Drosophila melanogaster: one gene and its partners. The protein of the gene in region 2 interacts with the protein of the main gene of each other region in a pairwise test. Each region holds a gene or a part of one and is shown on either strand. Other genes may lie near its edges.

Region 1 (8,511 bases), on a different chromosome or scaffold from region 2:
AACATTTTCTGGCTTATCCTTAAAACTTTATGGAAAATGTGGTTACAAAGAACTGATAGTTGTCTGAATATCGGTCTAATTTTTACAAATTTAAGCCCTAAGTGCACACATTTTTCTAAGTGCTTAGGATGGGTTAGGAGACCCACCTTCTGACAGAACCGCTGCCGGCATATGTGAAATCTATGGTCGTGATGCCTGGCTACAAAGTCATAATAAATGGAGCACAGTGCTCCACGTTGGCGGCGCATGCAAAAAAGATCGGGCAGATCGGGCGAAAGGCACCGATTGTCCGGAGATTGCTGGGACAAGTGGCGCTGCCTTAAAATCGCTGAAAAGCAACGACTAAAAATGGGAATCAGGAAGTTTACTTGGAATGGACTTTCTTTTTTTTGTCGTTCCCTTTTTCTTTTTGAAAGTCAAACGGCTGCCGCCCAGTTGCCTGACAGAAGGTGATTGCTGCATAACTGAAGATCGATAGCTCGAAGTCATTCGATAACAGCAGGCGAAATATTTATGGCAAATCAATATATGATATTTAGGTTCTTATTTTTTGCGTTATGGATGTACTTCTATTAAATATTTTATATTTTTAAAAGCTGAAAATATGTTTTTAATATCCGCTGCGAGTAAATTAAAAAGTAAATGTTATCAAGCAGTTCTTTTTTTTCAAATGGTACATTTTTCGCGGTTCACTCGCGACTGCCAGTTGGCAGCTCCTAAGAGCGCGAACATCTGCTGTTGATAGTAAAAAAACGAGTTGGCAGTTTCTAAGGCTCTGCTGGTTCGGAGCGTAAAAAATTAAAATCAATTAAATCCAATCAAAGCGCCCAATAGAAGCTAGAACTGCAGCTGTGGACAGCAGAGAGTCTTCCCGATAACGTCGCAGATAAGAGAAACGCCTCTAACCCCCCGCAGGTGATAAAAAGGTGATAAAGCAAGCGAACTCACATACCGGTTAATAATCGATTAGTAGCCAATTGTTAATTGCAATTAGTTTGTTTATTTCTAGCAGCCGGCAGAATGTGGCGACAGCTCAGCGGAGTCGCACGAACAGGAAGCAGCCTAAGCCTCTGCAGAATGCGAGGATTCTCGGCACTGGTGCAGGATAAGGCCCTGGTGGATGGCGCCTGGGTGGATTCCAGCAATGCAAAGGCGACCTTCGAGGTGCGGAATCCTGCCAATGGTGCTGTCATCGGCAAAGTGCCCAACATGACGGTGGCGGATGCCCAGAAGGCCATAGACGCCGCTAAGCAGGCGTACGAGTCCAAGGAGTGGCGATCCCTGACCGCCAAGGATCGGTCCAACCTGCTCAAGGTGAGTGCCGGGATCACTCGTTATCAGGGGTGCTGATTGTTGACCCCACAGATAAAGACCATCATATAATATGATGGGACTATAGAGTTGGAAAGTTCGACTGTAGGTCATTGTCATTATTTCTTCCTCTGGTCTCCAAGTTACTTCTGCTTATCTAATCTAATCTCGTCTTGCAGAAGTGGCACAAACTGATCGAGCAGCACTCGCAGGAGATAGCCGAGATAATGACGGCCGAGTCGGGCAAGCCGATCAACGAGTCGAAGGGGGAGGTGGCCTACGGAAACGCCTTCGTCGAGTGGTTTGCAGAGGAGGCCCGTCGCATCTACGGCGAAATTGTGCCCAGTGCATCGCCCAATCGCGAAATCATAGTAATGAAGCAGCCCATTGGGGTGGCGGCGCTGATTACGCCCTGGAACTTCCCGATGGCTATGATTACGAGGAAAGCAGGAGCCGCCCTGGCCGCAGGATGTACGGTCGTGGTGAAACCTTCAGAAGACACTCCTCTTACTGCCCTGGCTGTGGCCAAATTGGCAGTGGACGCTGGCATTCCAAAGGGTGTGATAAATGTGGTCACCACAAACAAAGCGGCTCCCATTGGCGATCTCTTCTGCAAGAGTCCCGATGTTAGGGGTATATCCTTCACGGGCTCCACTGAGGTGGGCAAACTGCTGTTCCGGAACTCTGCTGATGGCATCAAAAGGATTTGTCTCGAGCTCGGCGGCAATGCTCCGTTCATTGTCTTCGATTCGGCGGACATTGAAAAAGCAGTGGATGGCGCCATGGCCTCGAAGTTTAGGAATTGCGGACAGACCTGCGTCTCCGCCAATAGATTCTTTGTCCAGGACAGCGTCTACGATAAGTTTGTTGGGCAGCTGAAAAAACGCGTGGAAGCTTTGAAGATCGGAGATGGTCAGGGTTGCGATGTGCAAATCGGACCACTGATCAACGAGATGCAGTTCAACAAAGTCAGTGGCTTTGTGGAGGACGCCAGGTCGAAGAAGGCGAACATTATTCTGGGCGGACAGCCGTTGCCCGACAAGGGATCCCTTTTCTACGCACCCACAATTGTCACAGATGTGCCACCCTCGGCGCAACTCTACTCGGAGGAGGTCTTTGGTCCAGTGGTCTCCATCATACGGTTCCGAGACGAAGAAGAAGCGGTAAAGAAGGCAAACGACACCAGGAGAGGCCTGGCCGGTTACTTCTACAGCGAGAATCTGCAGCAGGTGTTCCGGGTGGCCAAGCGACTGGAGGTTGGCATGGTCGGCGTCAACGAAGGCATCATCTCCGCAGCAGAGGCTCCGTTTGGTGGCGTCAAGGAGTCCGGTGTCGGACGGGAGGGTTCCAAACACGGTATCGACGACTATGTGGACATCAAGTACATTTGCATGGGCAACCTCAAGTACGACTGAAGTCCGATGGAGGGATCACCCCCACTGCTTTCATACGCTGTCTTCCACTAGAATGCGATTGGTTTATTGTTGTCTAATTGTAGAATAACACGCCGCTATATTAATAAATGTGCACAAAGTCTACCTGAAGCTAATAGATAATTTCCCTTTTTTAAAATAGCCCGCCTCACCTTTCGATTAATTGGGATTGGTTAACAATCGCTTTAAATTGACAAGAAACCGATCATAGAGACATCGATATCCGGGAGTAATCGATTTTTCTCCACCTCTGGGCAGACTATCGCCATCCCCACAGCTGTGCGACAGAGACAGAGACAAAATTACAATGCCAAATGACAAAATTGTAAGTAAATTGTTGATAAAAAATTAAAAAGTGCATTTAGGGTGGAAACTAAGCGAATGTCTTATTGGTGAAGTGTGTGCAGTGAAATTGGTCAAGTGTTTCCCTATAGCTACCCACCAAAAAAGCCGGCAAACAATGTCGGTTTTCCAGTTCGCTGGCGTTTGTTGTTGTTGCCTAAATGTATGGAAAATATATTTAAAGTGCATTTCAGCCGGCAAAAGCGAAGCATATAATGCATAATGAACCCATTTGGAAGCACTCCCGGCAGTGCAAATCCACTGCAAGTCCCGAAATGCGGCCAAAGGTGCTGGCGGTGAAATTGAATGGTACCATGACTTGTAGATTTTCCACTGAAAGAGTGCAGTCTAGGCGGCAGTAGGACTGAGGGGAGTGTGCGGGGGTTTTGAGACCAAAAACCGATCCAAAAACCAAATAAATTATTAACAATTGTTGGCTGCAATCCGCCTGGGGGAAATGCATTTGAGGATATTTCTGTCTAATAAAGCAATTTCTGGTTGATAGGGTGCTACACTCAGAAAAATGTCTCTGCGTAAAATTAATTTTTGAAATATATGTTTTGTAAAATAAGAAAACTGCACATACCAGTAAATAGCACAACTTAAAATTTTAAATACAAATTTAATATAATTTTTTTGTTTTAAAACTGCATGCAGCTTGTCTTTCAAAATGCTGTTTTATTTTTTATTTAAAGCTCATACAATTACAGATCCGAATTTACATATACAGGCATTAGTTCTCTTTTTAACTATGCACTCATTTTGGCAACGAATTGCATTTGTTTTTAATTGCGATGCCAGATAAATTTCCGCAGTCAAGTTCGCGCCTTCATGACGTACAGTTCGAAACACTAAGCAAAAAGCCCTACAGGCTTTGGTAGCTAATAGCTACACTTGACAATCCCCCTTACCCAATCTACCACCCACCACCGCCCACACAAGAGCCCACCCAACCGCCCATCACCCAGTGACCCGTCCAGAAAGTCCAGAAAATGGCCTGTGCACCACTGCTGCTCGAGCAATTCATCTACAAGAAGCGCAATTTCGCCTACGCCTTTGTGCGCCATCGTCTGTTTGTGTTATGTAAACAATCGGTTGGATCAGAAATTGCCAAATTCACCTGTCCTAGTACTAATTAGAATCTGTTATTCATTTGTTAATTCCAGCTAATTCGCGTTCAGTCGGCGGAGGGCATCAAACGCATCGAGATCTCGCCCAAGTCAAATCTAAAGCATCTGTACGACAGCGTTCAGAATGCCCTGAAGGTGGATGGATTTGGTCTCTTCAAGGAGCGCAACTTCCTCACAGAGCTGCAGGCAAGTGGCTCCCAGCTGGTGGGGACTTCCTTGAGGCATGGCGACATGGTCTACTTAAAACAGATGGCTGGCACATCATCGCGCGTAAGTTGATCATATAGAGCAGAACGATCGGGGACTAACCTGCATTTTTCACCACTTCTCAGCGCACTAGCACCACTGTCCTGGACAGTCAGGCGTTCAAGACTAGCACCATTAGCAATCCAAACAGCGCTCGTCCATCCTTCAATGTGATCGAAGATGACGTGGACCAGGCTCTGAGCAAGGCTGATGGCACCATTAAGCGCGAACGTGATAGCAAGCTGTAGGCCTTGATTATACAATTAATTGTAAAATTAAACTGATCAACCTATAACTTTTTGTAGGTGCCACCACAATGCCAACGGCCGTTGCGTTCACTGCTCCGCACTGGAGCCCTATGATGAGTCCTATCTGAAGGAGCACAATATCAAGCACTTGTCCTTCCACTCGTACATACGAAAGCAGACATCCGGCATGGATCAGGGCAAGTACTTTGTCTTCGACGACATCAATTGCCGCATCAAGCCGGGATGTCGCGAGCATCCACCATGGCCCAAGGGCATCTGCTCCAAGTGCCAGCCGTCGGCCATTACGCTGAATCGTCAGACATATCGCCACGTGGACAACGTCATGTTCGAGAACACTAAGATCGTGGAGCGCTTCCTCAACTACTGGCGCACCACAGGACACCAGCGCATGGGATATCTGTATGGGACGTACGAGCAGCACACTGATGTTCCGTTGGGCATTCGGGCCAAGGTGGCTGCCATTTATGAGCCGCCACAAGAGTCTACCAGGGATTCGATCAATATTCAGCCGGATGAGTTCGCCGACGATGTGGATGCCGTAGCCAGTGCGCTGGGACTGAAGAAGGTTAGTTAGTTATAGACAGTAGCTATGTAGCATTAGTATTGACTTTTGTGACATTTATAGATTGGTTGGATTTTCACTGATCTCATCACGGACGATGCGAGTATCGGCACTGTCAAACAGATCCGTGGCATCGAGTCGCACTTTATTACGGCCCAGGAGTGCATCACAGCTGGCGAGCTGCAGAATCGACATCCAAATCCGTGTAAATATGCCTCCAATGGCGTCTTCGGCTCTAAGTTTGTGACCATTTGTGTAACAGGTAAGATTCACGATTTAATACTGCTTAATGAACTAGTACCAAAATAGTTTTTAACATTACAGGAGATAAAACCAAACAAGTGCACATGGAAGGCTATGCGGTTTCGGCTCAGTGCATGGCTCTGGTGCGCGATAATTGTCTGATACCCACTAAGGATGCGCCCGAGCTGGGCTACGTGCGTGAATCCACGGACAAGCAGTATGTTCCCGACGTTTTCTATAAGGTAAGTTAGAAAGTCTCCCCCCCATTCAAGCAAAATCAGTTATCGGGCAACCTTTATTGAATTACGTTCACACATTTACACAAACAACTTCCATATTTAGACATCAATACGAATGGGATTTGGTTTTTCAGTTTGATACATGCAAAGAAAATTTGGGTGTCAAGAGCAACGCCAATTCAAACATTTGACATCTAGAGGCTTACATTATCTTGGATTACGTTGATTTATTTATGGAACAACTTCATTATTTTCCTTATCCTTCTCGGTTTGTACTTCTCATCATTGCTCTGGGTTCTCCTTCAAACGTTCATTTTATTTTTCCTATACCTAGGACATTCATAAACAATGTTGTTATTTAGCGCATATTCAATTGTTAAAATAACTTTCTGAGCAACTGCCAAGCCAATCACAATTTTCCAGTTATTACCCTTATTTTTTTTTATTTATTTTTATTTTGCCAAACTGTTTTGTTCTATCTAATGCTTAATTGTGATACGCGTTTTTATTATTTTGGAAAATATAAGATTTCGATTTGATTTTTTTCTTTTCAATTGAAGTTAATCGTTGATTGATTGATTACTTAAAATAATTTAAAGTATAATAAGTCTACAAATTTCGTAAAATTGATTTCGATTTGTTCCTAAAAAGATTCTTTGCCTTCCTTTACATCGCTAAGGTCATATTATTACTTGATTCCCTTATTTTTATGGATGGCTATTCTTGGCGTTCATTATTTCATCCATCACAAACATAGCCTTAGTTATGATCACATCAAATGCATATTTAGACACCGAAAACTATCTCGTTTATTTACTTATTGCTAATAGGTTTATTTCATATTAATTATTAACTTGAATTGACATTAATTACATGTCAGCTATGTATTTGGATTTCACCTTACTCGTGGTTTCAAATTTTTAAGTTTTTATTGTAGCTAATTTACTATATCCAGGTATCGTCGTAGCGCTCCAACGCACATTTAGTGTCGTTTTCCTTAAGCTAAACTTATTTAAATACTCAAGGTCTGTTACAATTTCCACCTTGTCCATGAATCTGAAATGTTTATAGATCATTGATAGTCTTTTTTTTATTTAAAATAGCATCCAAAACGTTTCAATAAGTTGTAAATTGTTTATAAAAATTCTTTCTTTCTTTGTTAAAAAAATTGGCTTCTGTTGCTGAAAATGTCGAGTTTCAAGTGTCTTACATTGATCGTTTATTTTTACAAAATTTATACCAAGATTTGCATTCCAAGAATAAAATAGATATTGGGTGGTGTTGTACATTCAAAGTGTTTAGGAGCTTTCGGTTTGATACTGTTCGATAAGTAGGATTAGCTAATGGATCAGTCGGACTTATTATTGGTTTAAATGATATTCCCCACAATTCCGGATAATGCTCCTAAGGGCCGGGCGTCCTAGAGCATTGCCACTGGCCGCAATTCGGTCCACCAGCTCAATGCCCTGGACAATGAATCCGAAAATGGCGGTGAAGGATCGCATCTCGTTTAGCACCAGCCGAAATTGGCTGCCCACAAATCCACTTCTGTCCTGTCGCCGCTGTCCCCTGCGCATACCAACCGTTCCCCGATGTGCCGGCAATCCCGTTTCGTCTGGCAAAAAGTATCTGCTCTCAAAGGCCGAGTGCCCACCGCGTCCGTTCTGCGATTCAAAGTCGCCGGTGATGATGCTCTCGCCTCCCCAGGCCTGAAAGACAGTGCAGCCACGATAGCCATAGCCCCGCTCGTGCCGCACCAGCGCCCCAAAGTTGTCCGCCATCCGGGGAGCAGCATCAGATCGCACCTCGATTAGGACCCGTCCGGCCAGTTCTCCTGCTATTTCCATGTCCAGAAAGTAGATGGGGTAACAGTGAACGATGGGCTGACGCACAATGCTTACCGATGAACTCGTACCGCCATCCTGTCGATGATGATCATGGCTTTGTTGACCAATTAGCTGCGGCTCCACCGAGTTGACGAGAATCGCATCTGGCTGGTAAATTGAGTGGGTAAGCTGGTGTACTTGCTGCTGCTGCTGCTGCTGTTCCTGTTGCACTTGCTGCGGCTGCTGTTGCAACTGGCGCACCAATTCTCGAAGTCCATATTCCGTGTCTAGAGCAATATAATTGCTTTGGCTGTTTGTACTGCTGCTGCTGTTCGGCGACGAGGAGGATTCGTGTGAACCATCATACGGAGGTTGACTGAGCGTTCGAAACTGCTCGAGTTCGATCTGCTGCACATAATCCAGAAGTTCCACCTCCCGCAGGCTATTATTGAAATGCGGAGGCACCACAGCTCGCCGCGGTTCCGGCAGTAATTCTGGATCCGGTGTCAGATTCCTGTGGCGTGGAGGAATCATTTCGCGCTGCATCTCGCACCAGTAGGCGTACACACAGTAGTTGGTGAGGATGAGCGCCTGCGGTGGCCCCACATTGGCGGGAATAGCACCGGGCCGACGATGACTGCGTAGCCGTGCGATCCTGTTATTCAGAGTCTCAAAGTCCAGGACCTGCATCCCGTTCTCCTGAATTGCGGCTTGCATTCGACATTGAAAGTGCACCTGGTCCAACTGGCGCTCGTATCGCTGCCGCTGTGTGGCCAAGTGGGCGAGCACCTGCAGCATTTTTGCTCCAGTAAGTCTACCGACTCGATGCAGATCCCGCTCGGCTAGTCGATGCCAACCGATCATCGAGGCCGCAACCATGCTAGAATGGTGTTCCAGCATCTCACGCTTC
Region 2 (7,776 bases):
TCCGCTGCTCCAGTTACGGAAGCCACCCCCACCATTGTAAAGCCTAGCGTTTGCCGGTCCCCAACAATATGGAAGCGGTACGTATTTTGCACATTTCGCCGGTTCCAAACATTAAGAGCTATTTAGGAACTTTGGAGCGGGGGACACGGCATTTGGGTTACAAAGTCCAAGTCCAGGGCGATAATGCTGCTGCTGCTCGAGATATTGCGTAAAAGGTTGAAGTCTCTTCTCTGAGATTCGATCGGCTCCGATTGATCATCCAGTCAATGAACCTAAATGGCAGACGAAAAATTAGTATTTTATGCTAAACACCGTCTGCATCATTAGATAGGAACTAAGAAAGTAAAAGAAAATTGGGAGTATTAAAAATATATTAATTTTGCTAATAACAAAAGATTCATAATCTAGAAAACCAAAGCTGGATAATGTCAAAGTCACCAGAACGAGTTATCTTGCCAAATATGCATTTGATAATAACGCGAAATCATATTAATAAAATGTTTTGTAATTTTGAAGCGATTGCTAAACATGTTAAATAAATAATACATGGGGAAAAGGGTTAAAGTCTCTAGTCCGTAGAGATTGATGAATAATAAGCAGGCACCTGCTGATAAGACCTGGTTCCCATAACTTCACATGGACATGGACATTGTGGTTGTAGGGACTTAAGTACCACTTTTAATAATATGATTAAGCCATGGCATTTTGGACGAGCGAAACAAACTGTTTAAAAGCAGATAAAAATGTATTGTGGAGTAATACATAAATAAACAAAGCGAGATAATTGTAATTAGCATGTATTTGCTAACTTTTTATACCTAGCTTTTAAGAAAATCTCTTACCGTACACAGTTGGTACTTTAAAAGCAAGAGTCTCATTTTCATTTTATGACCCATTTAAGACAAACTACAGCAATTACAAGTATATTGGCCACAGACCCAGACGTGCGATGATTATATGAATTCTGAGTTCATTTCGCACACTTGTTCTTACAAAAGAAACAAATTAAGTTTCTGAACTTTAAAACCACCTGATAGAGATTGTCACTGCCAAGGAGAATCACAACAAACTTTAAACTAAATCATATAAAGATCATAAACTGACCCAAAATTAACTCTTTTTCTTAGGTGGCAAAGAAGGGCATGGAGAACTACAGATTTGGCAGTGTGGACTATGCCGTTTTCCTGGGCATGATCGTATTATCCACCAGCACGGGCATCTATTTCGGGTGCATCAAGTGAGTGACCTTTAAACAAATCCTCGGAATATTGCCAAACAATTGTTGTAATTACAGGAAGAGCAAGGTGAAGCTCGAGGAGGCGGAACCCACTCTGCCGACGACCACGCCAAAAAGGCGGAAACACGATTTCGGATCGGAGAAGATGAGCGAGTATCTGCTAGGGTCACGCAATCTGAAAGTTTTCCCCGTTGCCATGAGCCTGATAGCCAGGTAGAGTTGGCGATGCGATCCCGCACCTCCAAATATGCCTGTACAATCTGTTCCCTTTTATTTCCAGCTATATATCGGGCGTTACCATACTGGGCACAACCTCTGAGATCTACAATTATGGCACGCAATATTGGTTTATAGCCATAGCAATAATGCTCCAAGGTATTGCCGTCTCCTACGTCTACATACCAGTGTTCTCGGCTCTTCAAGTAGGCTCTTCCTATGAGGTACGATACTCGTAAATTCTATAAACTGATTTATACATTTACAATCTAATGGGTCAATAAGCTTATGCTAACAGTAAAAGTAATAACGTCCAGAACGCAACCAAAAATGTAAATTGGGTTTTAACGGAAATATTAATTTAGCTATAAAATACTCACCATTTCTTTCAATGACGAGTTAGTTAAAATAAAGATAGACAAGTTCATCTGTAGTGGTTGCTGATAAGAATGACAAACTTTCTAAGATGTTTCCGTCTTCCCCCTTTCGCTCCGTCACTTTTGTCCAATCAATGAACGGAGGACGTAGTGAACACTTTAATTAACTGGGAATCGGAGACCACCCTCCCCTCAAGTGGAATTTCTTGGACTTTGCACTCGCCCACTTGTTGCGACTTTTTTCTGGGTTCCAGCGGTTCGATATGATTAATTGCAATGTGGTTTTCTGCCACTTGACAATTGTGTCGAGCAATTAGTTTTCGTTTTCGGTCTTTATGACGTTAGTTTTCGAATCCTAAACGCAAGTCATTTGAATTATGAAATATAATATTGCTTTCAGTACTTGGAGATGCGCTTTCATTCGGTCGTACGAAGTATTGCATCCTTTATGTTTATTCTGGATGAGGTAAGTCAAAGATAATATTTGGACTGCAATGTTGTAATAATTGTCGATCCAATTTTAGATTCTGTTTCTGCCTTTCATTGTGTATGTACCAGCTATAGCTCTGAATCAGGGTAAGCCGCATTTGTTAATTGTTTGAAACACAACTTTAATCTTTCGATAATCTTGCAGTATCGGGCATTAATCTCCATGTGATTGCAGTGGTAATTGTGGTCGTGTGTGTTTTCTACACCTTTGTCGTAAGTTTTAGAGAGTTTCATACGTATGTTTTTATACTAATGGCGCCTATTTTCAGGGAGGAATCAAAGCAGTGGTCCACACAGATGCTTGGCAGGTGCTGGTCATGTTCCTTTCCGTTCTTGCTGTGGCTATTTTGGCCACTGTCTATGCAAATGGCTTGAATGTCCTTTTCGATGATGCTGCCAAAGGTGGCCGATTGATCTTTAACAATACAAACCCATCGCCTTATGTAAGGCACACTGTTTGGAGCGTCCTAATCGGGGGATTCTCCTACTGGACCTCATTCAATGCCGTCAACCAGACCATGGTCCAGCGATACATGTCTCTTCCATCGCTCAAGAAGGCTCGTGCTTCCATGGCCATTTTTACAATTGGCGTGGCTGCCTTCGTCTCTGTTTGTTGTTATGTGGGACTGCTAATCTATGAGATGTACAAAGATTGTGATCCTCTGAGTGCGGGACTAATAACAGTGAGTAAATAATAAATTGTTTTTGAACTTTACTTACGTTTATTTCCTTGCAGCACGACGATCAGCTACTGCCGCTCTTTGTCGTTCAGAGTGTGGGTCATATCTATGGTATGTCTGGTTTGTTTATAGCCGGCATATTTGGAGCTGCCTTGAGCTCCCTTTCTGTGGTTCTGAACTCAACGTCCTTGGTAATCCTGGAGGATATAGTTCGCGGCTGCTTCAAGATGCAACCAAGTGAAAGAGCCTCCACCATTCTGGTAAAGTCAACTGTTATAGTTCTTGGCTTTGTGGCCCTATCACTGGTATTTGTCCTGGAACAACTGAGTGGAATCCTGAGCATTTGCACTTCAATGACGGCCATCGCAGCTGGAACCACTTTTGGCCTGTTTACCCTGGGAATGCTCGTTCCCTGGGCCAATACTGTAGGCACTGCTGTGGGCGGAATTGCAAGTGCTCTGCTCGCCGGGTGGATATCCTTTGGAACGCAGTTTACCATCGCAGCGGGTGAATTGAATTCTCAAAAGCTTCCCGTATCCGTGGAGGGATGTGTGGGCAATGTAACGCTTCGGGAAAATATATGGGTAGATGAGGAGCAAGTTTTTCCACTGTACCGACTGTCCTACCACTGGATAAATCCCATTGGTGTGGCCACAGTCATTGTGGTAGGTGCACTAGTCTCCCTTGTGACCAAACCCACAAATATGAAAACACTAGATCCGGATCTAATATCACCAGTGATTCACAGGTAATTTTTGTAACCACATGTTTAACCTCTGTTATTAAACCCATTTTTTCTTCTAGATTCCTTCCAAAAGAATGCTTTAGTGGTCGCAATCTCCATGCGCAGGCGCACAAAAACCTCTTAAACGTATCCTAAAATAGACGAACCAGAACTTCCTGTGCCAAACTAATGGAATTGATGGCATTGAATTCCACACCCTGTTTTGTTAGCATAGTTTGTAGTTGTAGTTGCTTTGTGGTAGTTACCTTATAGATAGCCTAGTCTAGTACAATGTGATCCAGATATTGGAAGACATAAACCGAAGTACAGGAACCTATGAATCTGCATCTCAGAATACAGAGTGCACAATCATTAACGTTATATAGTAAATGTATTATAATATAGCTTTATTTAATTGTTCTGTTTGTATCCGTTCTTTACTTTCCAGCCTTTGTTCAAGCATTATTTTTTTGGCATTTTCGATTTGTAGTCAGCAGACTGTGTCTCATTATGTATTCCGTTTGACTTTACAAGCATAATGTCTGTGATAAATTCAATAAATAGATCATACATACTATCCGAATTTTGTACACCTAGAATATAGTTAAGCGGTTGCAAAGCAGCAGGAATGATATGACCTCTGTCTGGATCTGGATCTGGGATCTGAGTCTGGAATCTGGCGTATCTAGTCTAAACTAAGCCCCAATCAGGCGTAAATCACAAAAGAGGATATGCCTTGTATAGGCATGCTTATACATACTAATTAACCTTCCGATGATCTACAGCCGACGACTGTCTTCTGCTTTGGATGCACTTTCGTAGCTGGAACCCGATGACAATTAGGCAAAGAATGCCAGCACTCAGATAGCTATTGAAGACAAACTGCTGTGGCAGCATTTTGCACTTGGAAACCACATAGTCATCGGGGGTTATAGTGGCCTAAAAGTTATGGCATGTTAGTACAAGTTCGAAGGGCTAACAATCGTAAGAGCAAATATAATACTCACCAGCATAAAGCTGGGATTAACTTTGTTTCGCCAGCTGAATGAGGCCACCGTGTACTCATCGATGCCCAGTCGATTTACACTGTGACAGAAGTGATGTGAATGACCGGCGAATGCCAGCCTTGGCTTAAGCAGCTCTCCCAGCATATCCGTGGCATCCTTGGAGAGCACATGAAACCGCTCTCGGAACGCCTCGATGTACGGAGCATCGTGCTCCTCGCACATGGTATCCGAAATGCGGTAGGTGGGAAAGTGCTGCAATAGAATTGGCTGGCTGTACGGGTGCCGCCTGGTGCGAGCGCACTCCGCCTCTAGTGGATACTTCATGCAGTACAAAGTCCTCGAAATGTTTTTCAACTGATCCTCGGCCTGGGTGCAAAACATGCAACCATCACCTTCCATAGCCATCGAATTTATCACCACAAAATGGATTTGTTTAATGGTGTACAAATTGACCGAGGAGTTGTTCAGATAACTCTCAAAACGCGACATAAAGAAGGGATGCATTCTGGAAAACACACAAGAGCGCGGTTTAACAAATATCAGGGAATACACATAGTCTCTTATTGACTTACTTGTAATGGAAGCCCACGTCATGATTTCCCGCGACACTGATGAGCGGAATTCCCGGTGGTAGGTGGAACATCTTCAGGTAGCGCCACACATATTCCTGGAACTGCTTGTCGCTGACCATGTCGCCCTCGTCGAACAAATCGCCCAAGACGAAGACCACGTCGGGCTGGAACAGACGTGATGCCGCCTGAAAGGCCCGCGTCATGTGCCACTCCCGGTAGAGCTTGTCCAGCCAGTGACCACGATGCGGTCCCAGCAGATGCGGATCCGCTAGAATCATTGCCCTAAGCGGATCGTCCACATACTTCTTTCGCTTTATCTCCGGCCACTTGCACTTTTGCAGCACCACAAAGTCCGCCACATATTCGCAGAAGATCAGGGCGCACAGCACGATCACAAAGCAGGCATAAAGAAAGCGCATTTCAGGATTTCTCACCGGCTAAAAAAATAATAACAAATTTATTCTAGAGCTGAAAAACCATCAGCGATAGTATCGTTTTAAACGAGTAAACGGCCCGATATAAATTTAAAATATTCGATAAATTAAACAGTGCTGTCAAGCGGCTGTCGGTTGACTAACAAATTGGCGCCTCATTTCAAAGTTGGTTACTAAAATTGTAAATTGGAAAAATTATGAAGCATTATGGCTTATATATAATTTCCTTTATTTGGAATAGGTATTGTGCATTGCATGCTGCTTACAGGCTAACTAGAAGAGATCGTAAAAATAGTTTAGGCCTTGGCCAAGTTCCCAGATTGAAATGCCAGTGCCCAGTTCCTGGGCGAGCTTTATTCGCTCGTTTATGGAATAGAGAGTGGGATAAAAGACAATGTGGCGACCGTCATCGTTTCTGAAAGTAATGATATTCATCATCTTCGCCTTACACTCTGCATACGCTGCAGTAGAAAACTCACTTGATTTCAAAGAAATTTTCCACATCCCGCTCATCGTAAGTTAGGTGCTTCTTCACATGCCTGACTAGATCCAAGTACTGGGAGAAGGTGATGGGTCCACCTCCATCGGGCGTGTAATCATTCCCGTACATATTCAGTCCCAACAGAATTTTAGCCCTCTTAGCCGTCATATCAGCGCAACCTTCTGGAGCTATTGTCTCCACAGCCTTACGGACGAAATATAATGGTGCATTTGCTCCGGGACGCTGCACGCTGGAGAAGTCGTAAGTCATCAGAGAGAAGGCGTATATGTGCTTGAACAGCTTGTCCATGTGCTTTTCTCCAAAAAGGTGGCCTGTTTCCTTGCGGAATGGAGGAATGACCAAAATGAGTCGCAGCTGTTGCTTTTGTAGTTCTTTGGCTAAGTGACGTAAAAGAAATTTAAATTATTAATAACAAACAAAGGGTTACAACGCATTAAGCTCACCCATTTGCAAAACCAGTGTGTACAGAATTTTGTCATCTATGCGTCCAGCTAGCTGGGACCACACCTCCAGGACGAGTCCATCGAAGCCATTATCCTTGCAGCACTTGATCAGCACGTCGTTGACTTTCGTCCTCTCCTGGGCGTCGCTAAGCAAGAGCTTAATGTCCCGATCAGTGAAGTGATCGAATATAAAACGGGGAAACACTGAAATCCAAGGAAAGTGAGTTTAGACTAACGCCAGCGGGTATCATTTTCTCATACCTTTAACCGTTCGCTGATTGTGCACCTGTTTACCCTTTCTCCGGACATCGGTTAGCCAACCCGCATCGATGTCATGGGTTCCGGCTACGGCATAACGATCTCCCTGCTTAACAATCTGCAGCCAAACCGGCGAGATAATGTCGAACTTCTTGGCAAATATCTTAGCCACATCATAGCCATGCGAGTTCCACTACAAGCAAAGCAAACAATAGATTAATACACATGCACAAAATGTGGGAGTACGTCCTCTGCTTACTGGAGTCACATAGCCCAAGGTGGTGCCATTGAAGCGTCGCAATCCCGTCTCCTTGAAGTACCCGCGATGATTGCTCACGATATCCTTGGCCAGGGGCTCGGGACTAACCAAGCCCAGATCGAAAACATCTTGGTCTTGCGGACCGCCACGCAGAGCACTCTCCTTGGTCTTGCTCTTCGATTTGTGGCTGTCCGGGGCGAGGGTTCCGCGGACGGTGGTCAGCAGTAGAAGCAGGAGAGCGACGCGGAGCAGGAGCGCATCAGGCGCACGCATTTCGACAGAAGGACAATCAGGACCACAGCATAAATCGCACAAAAACAAATCGCATACAAAAAAAAAGCCGGCAGCAAAGTGACCATAGCGTACACTAAACGGCAAACGGCATCAGACACTCTAAATGGTCACCCTAAATTGGTAAATAGCAGTGTGCTTCAGAAATTATTACTTGGACTTGACTTAACATTATATTTGATATATTTTATTTTATTATTTATAAGCTTAAAATTATATCACCGAATTATTTCAACTTCAAACAATAACGAGAACTTAATATGTTTCTTAAATTGCGCATCCGATTT
Region 3 (6,650 bases), on a different chromosome or scaffold from region 2:
ATATACTCATATCAAAACAATATACATAGGTAGAGAAACCACCTTTTCAGTGGCTTCATAGGATTGGAGCTGAAAAGAATCGCTTTCGTTTGGGCGCCAAGCAACAAGGAACACTTTATTTCTGCAATGGTACGGATAAGTAAAAGGATGTGCACAGTAGTCCGTTTGAAATTTGATTCTTTAATGTATGTACGTCTATGACTAATAATACTCTCGGCAGGAAGGGCAGGGACAGGGGCAGGGTCTGGAGTTCATGATCACAGTTGGGTTCCAAGCGAATCGTTTATTGTAGCTGAAAGTTCTGGGCGAGCAGTCCTAGTACCCATAGATGAACGTCTCGTAGACGAAGCTGCGCGTCTGATTGGAGGTCAGCAGAATCTCCACGTTGGTCTGACCGATGCCACCCTTGGTCAGATAGCCACCGGCATCGTCCGCCGTCATGTCCACATACACCTCGATGCTCGTCAGCGTGACCCCTGTGCTGGCTCCGGCCGGATAGCTCATGAGCACCTCCACATCCTTGGCACTGGGAAAGCTGTCGTCATCGTAGTGGTTCACAATGAGTCGGTCACCCGATGCCCGCTTTCCCGCGGTGAAGACCACGTTGCCCTTCGAGTGCTTCACCTTGTTCATCTCGTTCAGCTGTGCGTCCGGATTGAGGGTGGTGTAGCGTGTTTCGTCGGTCACGGGCGTTATGTCCGTATAGTAGAGATCGCTGGCACGGGCGTGTGGCTGTCCGGATACCGATGCCATGATGCCCAGCACCAGGCAGAGCACTAGGAACATCTTTGTTAACATCACCAGATCACCAGAAAAAAAATGGGAACGAAACAAAATAATCGGAAGAATAAGGGGTGTGTAGACTCCTTTTCTGATGCACTATTCGAACGCTTTTTGAATTTTGGCTGGTACTGGCGACCGCCTCCGGCTTTTATACATGCTTCCTTATCGGCGGTCACTACGTCGATAAGACGGCCCGACACAACTGAACGATAAGCCCCCGGGGGAATTGGCTGTGGCAATTTCGGCAAACGCCTTTATAAAACCACATCGACTAATTGGCCATAATGCTGCGATCAGTTCCTATAAATAGGACACTCGAGCTTACACCGCTGGGAAATGGATTGGATTGGATGGGCATATGATGGGATATGATGGGAACACTTGTTATTTGATTGGACGATTGGACGGACTGCGTACAAGAAGCATTAACTTAATGTGCTATCGTAGTTCAATCTATTAGTAAGCGGCTAGATAGTATGTTGTTGATTTTTATTTTTATTTTTTTTATGACAACCCACCCAATAATAAAACCAGTGATAGGAAGCACCACCTTACTGGATAAAGGAAATGTTTCCTCCGCCGTTGAATGACGATCTGTGATGGCGCGTGTTTGTTTGTTTATTTGTTCCACGACAATCTTAGCCTTGATATGCATAATGGCGCACAATGGCAAACAATCTAATAAACAAATAACCGTATCTACAAAGTCAATTGACTGTCTACGCAACATGGTCATAGATACTATATTCATACATATCTATATATACCACATCGATTCTGGACTGACGTACTTACCACCAGAGAAAGTCCCCCCAATAGTTGAATGAAGACAGATACTCAGATACTCAGATGCCCAGCTATATGATAAATACCCAATTGAATCGCAAAGTCTTGGGAGTTTGGCCATTGTTCGTTCTCATCCAAAACGTGATTCATTCGGTTGGGAATTCCTTCTAAAAATCCAGCCAGATAGGGGGAAAGTTCAATAACGTCAGTAGAACAAAAACTTCATGCGTCTCACTCTTTCGCAGACAAATCCCTGGATGATTTGCCGCCTTGGTTTCACCTTCCATGCCAAACGGAGCCGCAATCGGAATCCACAGCGGATTCAGGTGAGTGGCTGTCCCAGATTTATGGCAATGGCTATCATCGGTTTCGAGTGGAAGGCGCGTGAGCAACGAACCATTTGAAATTGATCAAGATTACCGAATACCCTGGGGATGGTGATATATGATCTCTACCATTACCGACTTTTCAGCTTTGCAATACATTCGACATTCGATCGTACACAGTGAAAGACGTACATGTATATCTTTGGATCTACACATTCTTCGTTAAAAATGAAATTTTTTAATTAGAGGAACAGGTCCGAATTTGATTTATCATATAACTCAATTAACAGAGTGACTGATAGTACAAACATATATGATCTAATTGCATATTTACGATTAAACATATGACAGCATATAAACTTTATCCCATCAATGAAATGAAATTAATTACGTAAATCTAGATAATTGCAGGTGCTGCAATCATTTTAGTCTGCCATTATACATATGTATTTAAAATTGGAGTCACATTTAAAAAAAAAAAAAAATATATATATATATAAAGCTAGCGAGGAACTAATGCAAATGCCTCCTAGTTGACTCCGTAGTAGAGAGCCTGGTATGAGAAGTTCTTGGTGTTCTTGGCCTCCAGCACGATGGAGATCAAGCTCTGGCCGATGCCTCCGGCGACCACGTAGGCGGTGCCCTCGTTGGTGTCCTGGGTGCAGAGCAGCTCCACGTAGGATACAGTGGCACCCTTGCCGTTCTCCGGATAGGTAAGCTGCAGGCTCACATCTTGCGCCCGTGGGAATTCGTAAGTGTTGGCTGTCTGGGCCACCAGTTCGTCGCCTGAAAGTATGCCAGATTGCGGGATCAGTGATTGGTGGTCGGTCAAACGTAGGGTATGCTTTGGGTAACTTACCCGGAATGCGGGCTCCCATGTTGTAGCGCACGGTCTGGCTTCCGACGCGGGCCTTGGCCGGCACAATTTCCTTCTCCATCTGCTGGATCTGCAGACCCGGGTATTGGGCGGCAAAGACATGGATATTATCCACCACTTGGATGCCGGTGGTATCCACACGTATTGTTCCAGCCGCTCCACCGGACACAAGACAGCCCAGCAGGGCGGACAACAGGATGAGGCTAAACTTGGACATCTTGGGCGTTGAATTGAAATTCGAGGTAAACGAAGTGTGTGGACTAAGGGTCTCCAGTCACGGCACGTTGAAGTCACGGAATGATGGCCAAGGTCTGGAAACCACCTATTTATACCGCCCACTGTTTTTCTTTGAATCATATTAGGTACCCCCTTATCAGGCCCATTGCCAATTTCAAGTGGCAAGTGACAATGTCTAATCCAATACCGGAAAAAGAGTCACACCGACGCTGGAACTGCTCTACTTCTCGTTCAGAAATGAAACTCTTGTATTGAATTAGAGCTTAGAGGATAAATAAATGAGTTATTGGGCTTTTTTTTATATCTAGCACCTTACAGTGCAGCGACCCCACGGAAGTGTAACCATAATAATGCTGATAAGGAAGCTTCCCACTTCACTCAATTAAATTGAACAATTTCGGTGTTATTGCGCTCGGATCCAATCATCCCCCTTTCGCCCCGCCGGCAGCTGCGATGGTGTACCAATGGGCGGAAGATAAGACCACGACTCCCACTTTGGGAGTACGACCTTTCCTATCCGACGGTAAACAAACAATCTTTTTTTTTTCCTCAGGCCCTGATTAGCCAAAAACTAACTCTAGGCGCAATCTATTGCCCCAGGATTGACACCTGCTGGCGTCCCCCTGTTGGACTTCCCTCCCCCTTCCTCGCGCTTTTAGACTTCCCTACCCGCGATGGAGGAAAGAACTTCCCGGAATCTTATCGCCCGTGGACTTCCCTGGAAGTGGGACGTCGAGTACCTTCGAGACGAATCGACCCATCATCACCACTCCCAATCAACGCGGCCATCGATAATTGTAGATTTGATTTAACAATAAGTTATGAATCATCTGCTTAAAATTGGATTTACTCGCCATTCTATGCGTACACTTAAAGAATTGGCGGGGCATTAATGGTGCACCTACGTCAAAAGAATATAAAATTAAAAGAAATTTTAAAAACTTTCGAAAAATGCGAACTTGTTCTGTGCACTTAGGTTTCAAATTGTGAGCACATCTTGAGATGGGAACTTTATTATATCTATTGATTTATAAATGGATCGACCCTTCCCCACAATATTAAACATTCAACAGCTCGGCTTACATGGTAAAGTGTTTAGAAAACGTTTTTATTTCTATGCTATTATTCAGACTTATCGATAACTCTAAAGTTACACATGAATGTAAAATATTGTTTTCAAAAATCAAACTCCCGAAGCACTTGCAACGATCAATTACGATTACGACTACCTGGTACAGAGAGCTTTACGAAAATCAAGAGTTTAAAAAAAAATAATGGGATTAGTAGTAAGAGAGCCGAGCTTCGCTGCAGACTCGATTGGTTCGGTTCGGATTGGATTGGATTGGAATTAGAATAGATTATAATGGATTAGATTGGAATGTGGCAGCGTTGAAACTAAGCTAGGATTAGTTGGACTTGCAGGAGTATAGACTAAGGTTAGTACATTCATTTTTTCAGTTGGCAATCATAAAGCAAAACAATCTGCGGCCCTGTCATCGCGTCCCGTTCCCGTTTCATAAATCCTCTATTGCACTCGACTCGCCATCCCGCCATCGCGCTATCTCGCTCTTATTCGCTTCCGCTCTATACCCATCGCATTCTCTCACTCATACGCAAGGACACACACACACGAGGTCGGCACGGAAATCCCCCAGGCTTGGATCCTCCCAAATATCAATTGAATATCTATTGTATGAGATTCGCCGATCGAAATGGGAATGGGTTCACTATCAGCTAATTGTGATGATTTTCGTACGCTCTGCACTAAGTGCATTTTGTGGAGTTTGATCTTTCGTGACAAAAGTGGAAAACAGTTTTCAAGTACGACTACTACTAACACACACACACGATTTTGAAAATTGCATTCACTTCATGCACTACAAATATGGTCTAAAAGCAATTGTTCTAATGCTTACATGGAAATACAATTGTTCGCGATTCCTTACGACATTGTTTTACAAAATCGAAATTCTTAAGCTTTAATAATTTAATAATATCCTTGTGGATTTATTTATTCGCCGAGCATTGAATGCCCTTGTCTGAATCCCGGTTGCCCAGGCGATTTCCAAGTGCCGACAGTGCATATGTACATACAGTTCGCGTCATAAATGCAGATGTGTGTGATATCTTGTGTTTTTCGTGTGTATATCAATACTTATATGCGTTACAAAACCAACAACAATTCCATTTCTCATTTTCACTAAATTGCTTTTGTCTAAAATATCGCCCCCGTTGCCCCGGCTGAAACCCTTGTGATCCATTCCTTGATCCTCCTCCTCCTGCTGCTCCTCCCAAACATGCTGGACTTACCAGCGTGGGCGTATCTCCTTGAACCACCACTGCTGGTAGCTATCGTTAACATCGCAGTGACCCAATGACAATTGCTGCGTGGCCGGATGCAGGGCCATGCATTTCTTGTGGACGCGATGCATCAGGTGCTTCGTGTGCTCGTTGTACTGCCAAGGACCGTCGACTGTCCCCAGACGACACACGGCCAGTTTGATGCCCTGCCGATCGGCCTCCACGCAGCGCTCGCCGACGCCCAACTGGCCAGCGGCATTGAGCCGAACCAGTTGATTATTTCCGCCTCCATGGCAGTATGTGAGGCCCATGATGGCCGGCGGCTGGTGGCCCATCGAGTCCAGGCATCCGTCGGAGGCCACCGAGCGCAGCTCGCCCCAGTGCAGGTTGGCCGGCAGACCCGGGAACTTGTCGTACACATCGTAGGCGATGTGGTCCATGAACCACTGGAAGCTCTTGCAGTTCAGTCGCTTCTTCAGCGCCAGTTGCTCGCTAATGTCGCCCATGTCCAGGTAGCGGGCAAGCGGCTCGCGCGTATAGAAGTACTCCTTGTGCGTGTCGTCGAACCACGTCTCGATGACGCGCTTGTAGTTGATCGTGATCAATGGACCCTTCTTCTTGCTAGCCAGTTTGCCGAAATTGTAGGGCATAAAGCCGCGATAGACGTGACCCACGCGAGAGCATGGCACCCACTCGATGCTGCCGCCACACTGCCAGATCTTGAAGCTCAATTCGAAGTTCTCGCCGCCCCAGACCAGCAGACCCGGATCGTAGGCGCCCAGCTCCAGGAAGTACTCCCTATTGATGGCGAACAGGCCGCCGGCGTGCGTGGGACTGCGATAGGGTTCCGAGTTGTGAGCACGGCGGCGCTGCTCGCGACGTGGCACCTCGTTCTCCTTGTACAGCATGCCCCATTCGAAGATGCCGCGGAAGTGGTTGTCCGTGCCATAAACCGGCCGGTACTCAAAGTTCTTGTGGTCAATGCCATCGATAATGGGCACTGTCATCACAGTGCGATCCCGGTAGATGGGCGCCAGCAAGGGCGGCAGCCAGTTGGTGTTTACCTCGCAATGGGCGTCCAAGAAGACGATCACCTCACCTGCGGGATGCAAAGCAGTTTAGTGTTTGTGTGGATATTTATAAGGTTGTGGGTTAATATGATGATTTAAAGGATGATGCTTTAAAATAGTAATTTGTAAATTTCTATGCATACTGTTTATGCTAAAAGGCTTGTTTGAAATCGACGATAATCTTGCTTCAATTGCAATGATAGGCAATTCTATTATGCTGAGAAAATGTAAAAGAAATTCAATGAGTCTGCAGTTTAAAGGTTTATCATT

The links. The genes of interacting proteins can lie anywhere in the genome.
Region 1: the proteins of PGAP5 (region 2) and Npl4 interact in a two-hybrid assay, tested with the Drosophila melanogaster proteins (one large-scale study listed by BioGRID).
Region 3: the proteins of PGAP5 (region 2) and CG15043 interact in a two-hybrid assay, tested with the Drosophila melanogaster proteins (one large-scale study listed by BioGRID).

What each region holds. Positions count from the first base shown.
Region 1 is NT_033777.3:25,619,147-25,627,657, reverse strand, and holds the start of Npl4 (nuclear protein localization 4), read left to right. Parts: upstream 1-3,912; 5' UTR 3,913-4,078; coding exon 4,079-4,180; intron 4,181-4,252; coding exon 4,253-4,486; intron 4,487-4,548; coding exon 4,549-4,706; intron 4,707-4,767; coding exon 4,768-5,296; intron 5,297-5,356; coding exon 5,357-5,555; intron 5,556-5,617; coding exon 5,618-5,778; intron 5,779-5,819; exon of another isoform or gene 5,820-7,136; coding exon of another isoform or gene 7,137-8,511. Other genes in the region: Ssadh (succinic semialdehyde dehydrogenase), read left to right, coding at 1,021-1,314, 1,491-2,726; CG5071 (uncharacterized protein), read right to left, coding at 7,137-8,511. UniProt on the Drosophila melanogaster protein: May be part of a complex that binds ubiquitinated proteins and that is necessary for the export of misfolded proteins from the ER to the cytoplasm, where they are degraded by the proteasome.
Region 2 is NT_033779.5:8,196,988-8,204,763, reverse strand, and holds PGAP5 (Post-GPI attachment to proteins 5), read right to left. Parts: upstream 5,812-7,776; 5' UTR 5,722-5,811; coding exon 5,303-5,721; intron 5,236-5,302; coding exon 4,731-5,235; intron 4,663-4,730; coding exon 4,484-4,662; coding exon of another isoform or gene 4,483-4,483; exon of another isoform or gene 4,419-4,482; coding exon 4,409-4,418; 3' UTR 4,112-4,408; downstream 1-4,111. Other genes in the region: SLC5A11 (Sodium/solute co-transporter-like 5A11), read left to right, coding at 69-77, 1,128-1,237, 1,295-1,450, 1,518-1,677, 2,231-2,296, 2,355-2,406, 2,465-2,532, 2,589-3,002 and 2 more; CG8460 (uncharacterized protein), read right to left, coding at 6,010-6,151, 6,216-6,615, 6,682-6,885, 6,943-7,132, 7,199-7,471. UniProt on the Drosophila melanogaster protein: Metallophosphoesterase.
Region 3 is NC_004354.4:18,491,094-18,497,743, forward strand, and holds CG15043 (uncharacterized protein), read right to left. Parts: upstream 3,076-6,650; 5' UTR 2,990-3,075; coding exon 2,755-2,989; intron 2,682-2,754; coding exon 2,425-2,681; 3' UTR 2,100-2,424; downstream 1-2,099. Other genes in the region: CG15044 (uncharacterized protein), read right to left, coding at 316-798; Pgant7 (polypeptide N-Acetylgalactosaminyltransferase 7), read right to left, coding at 5,316-6,409.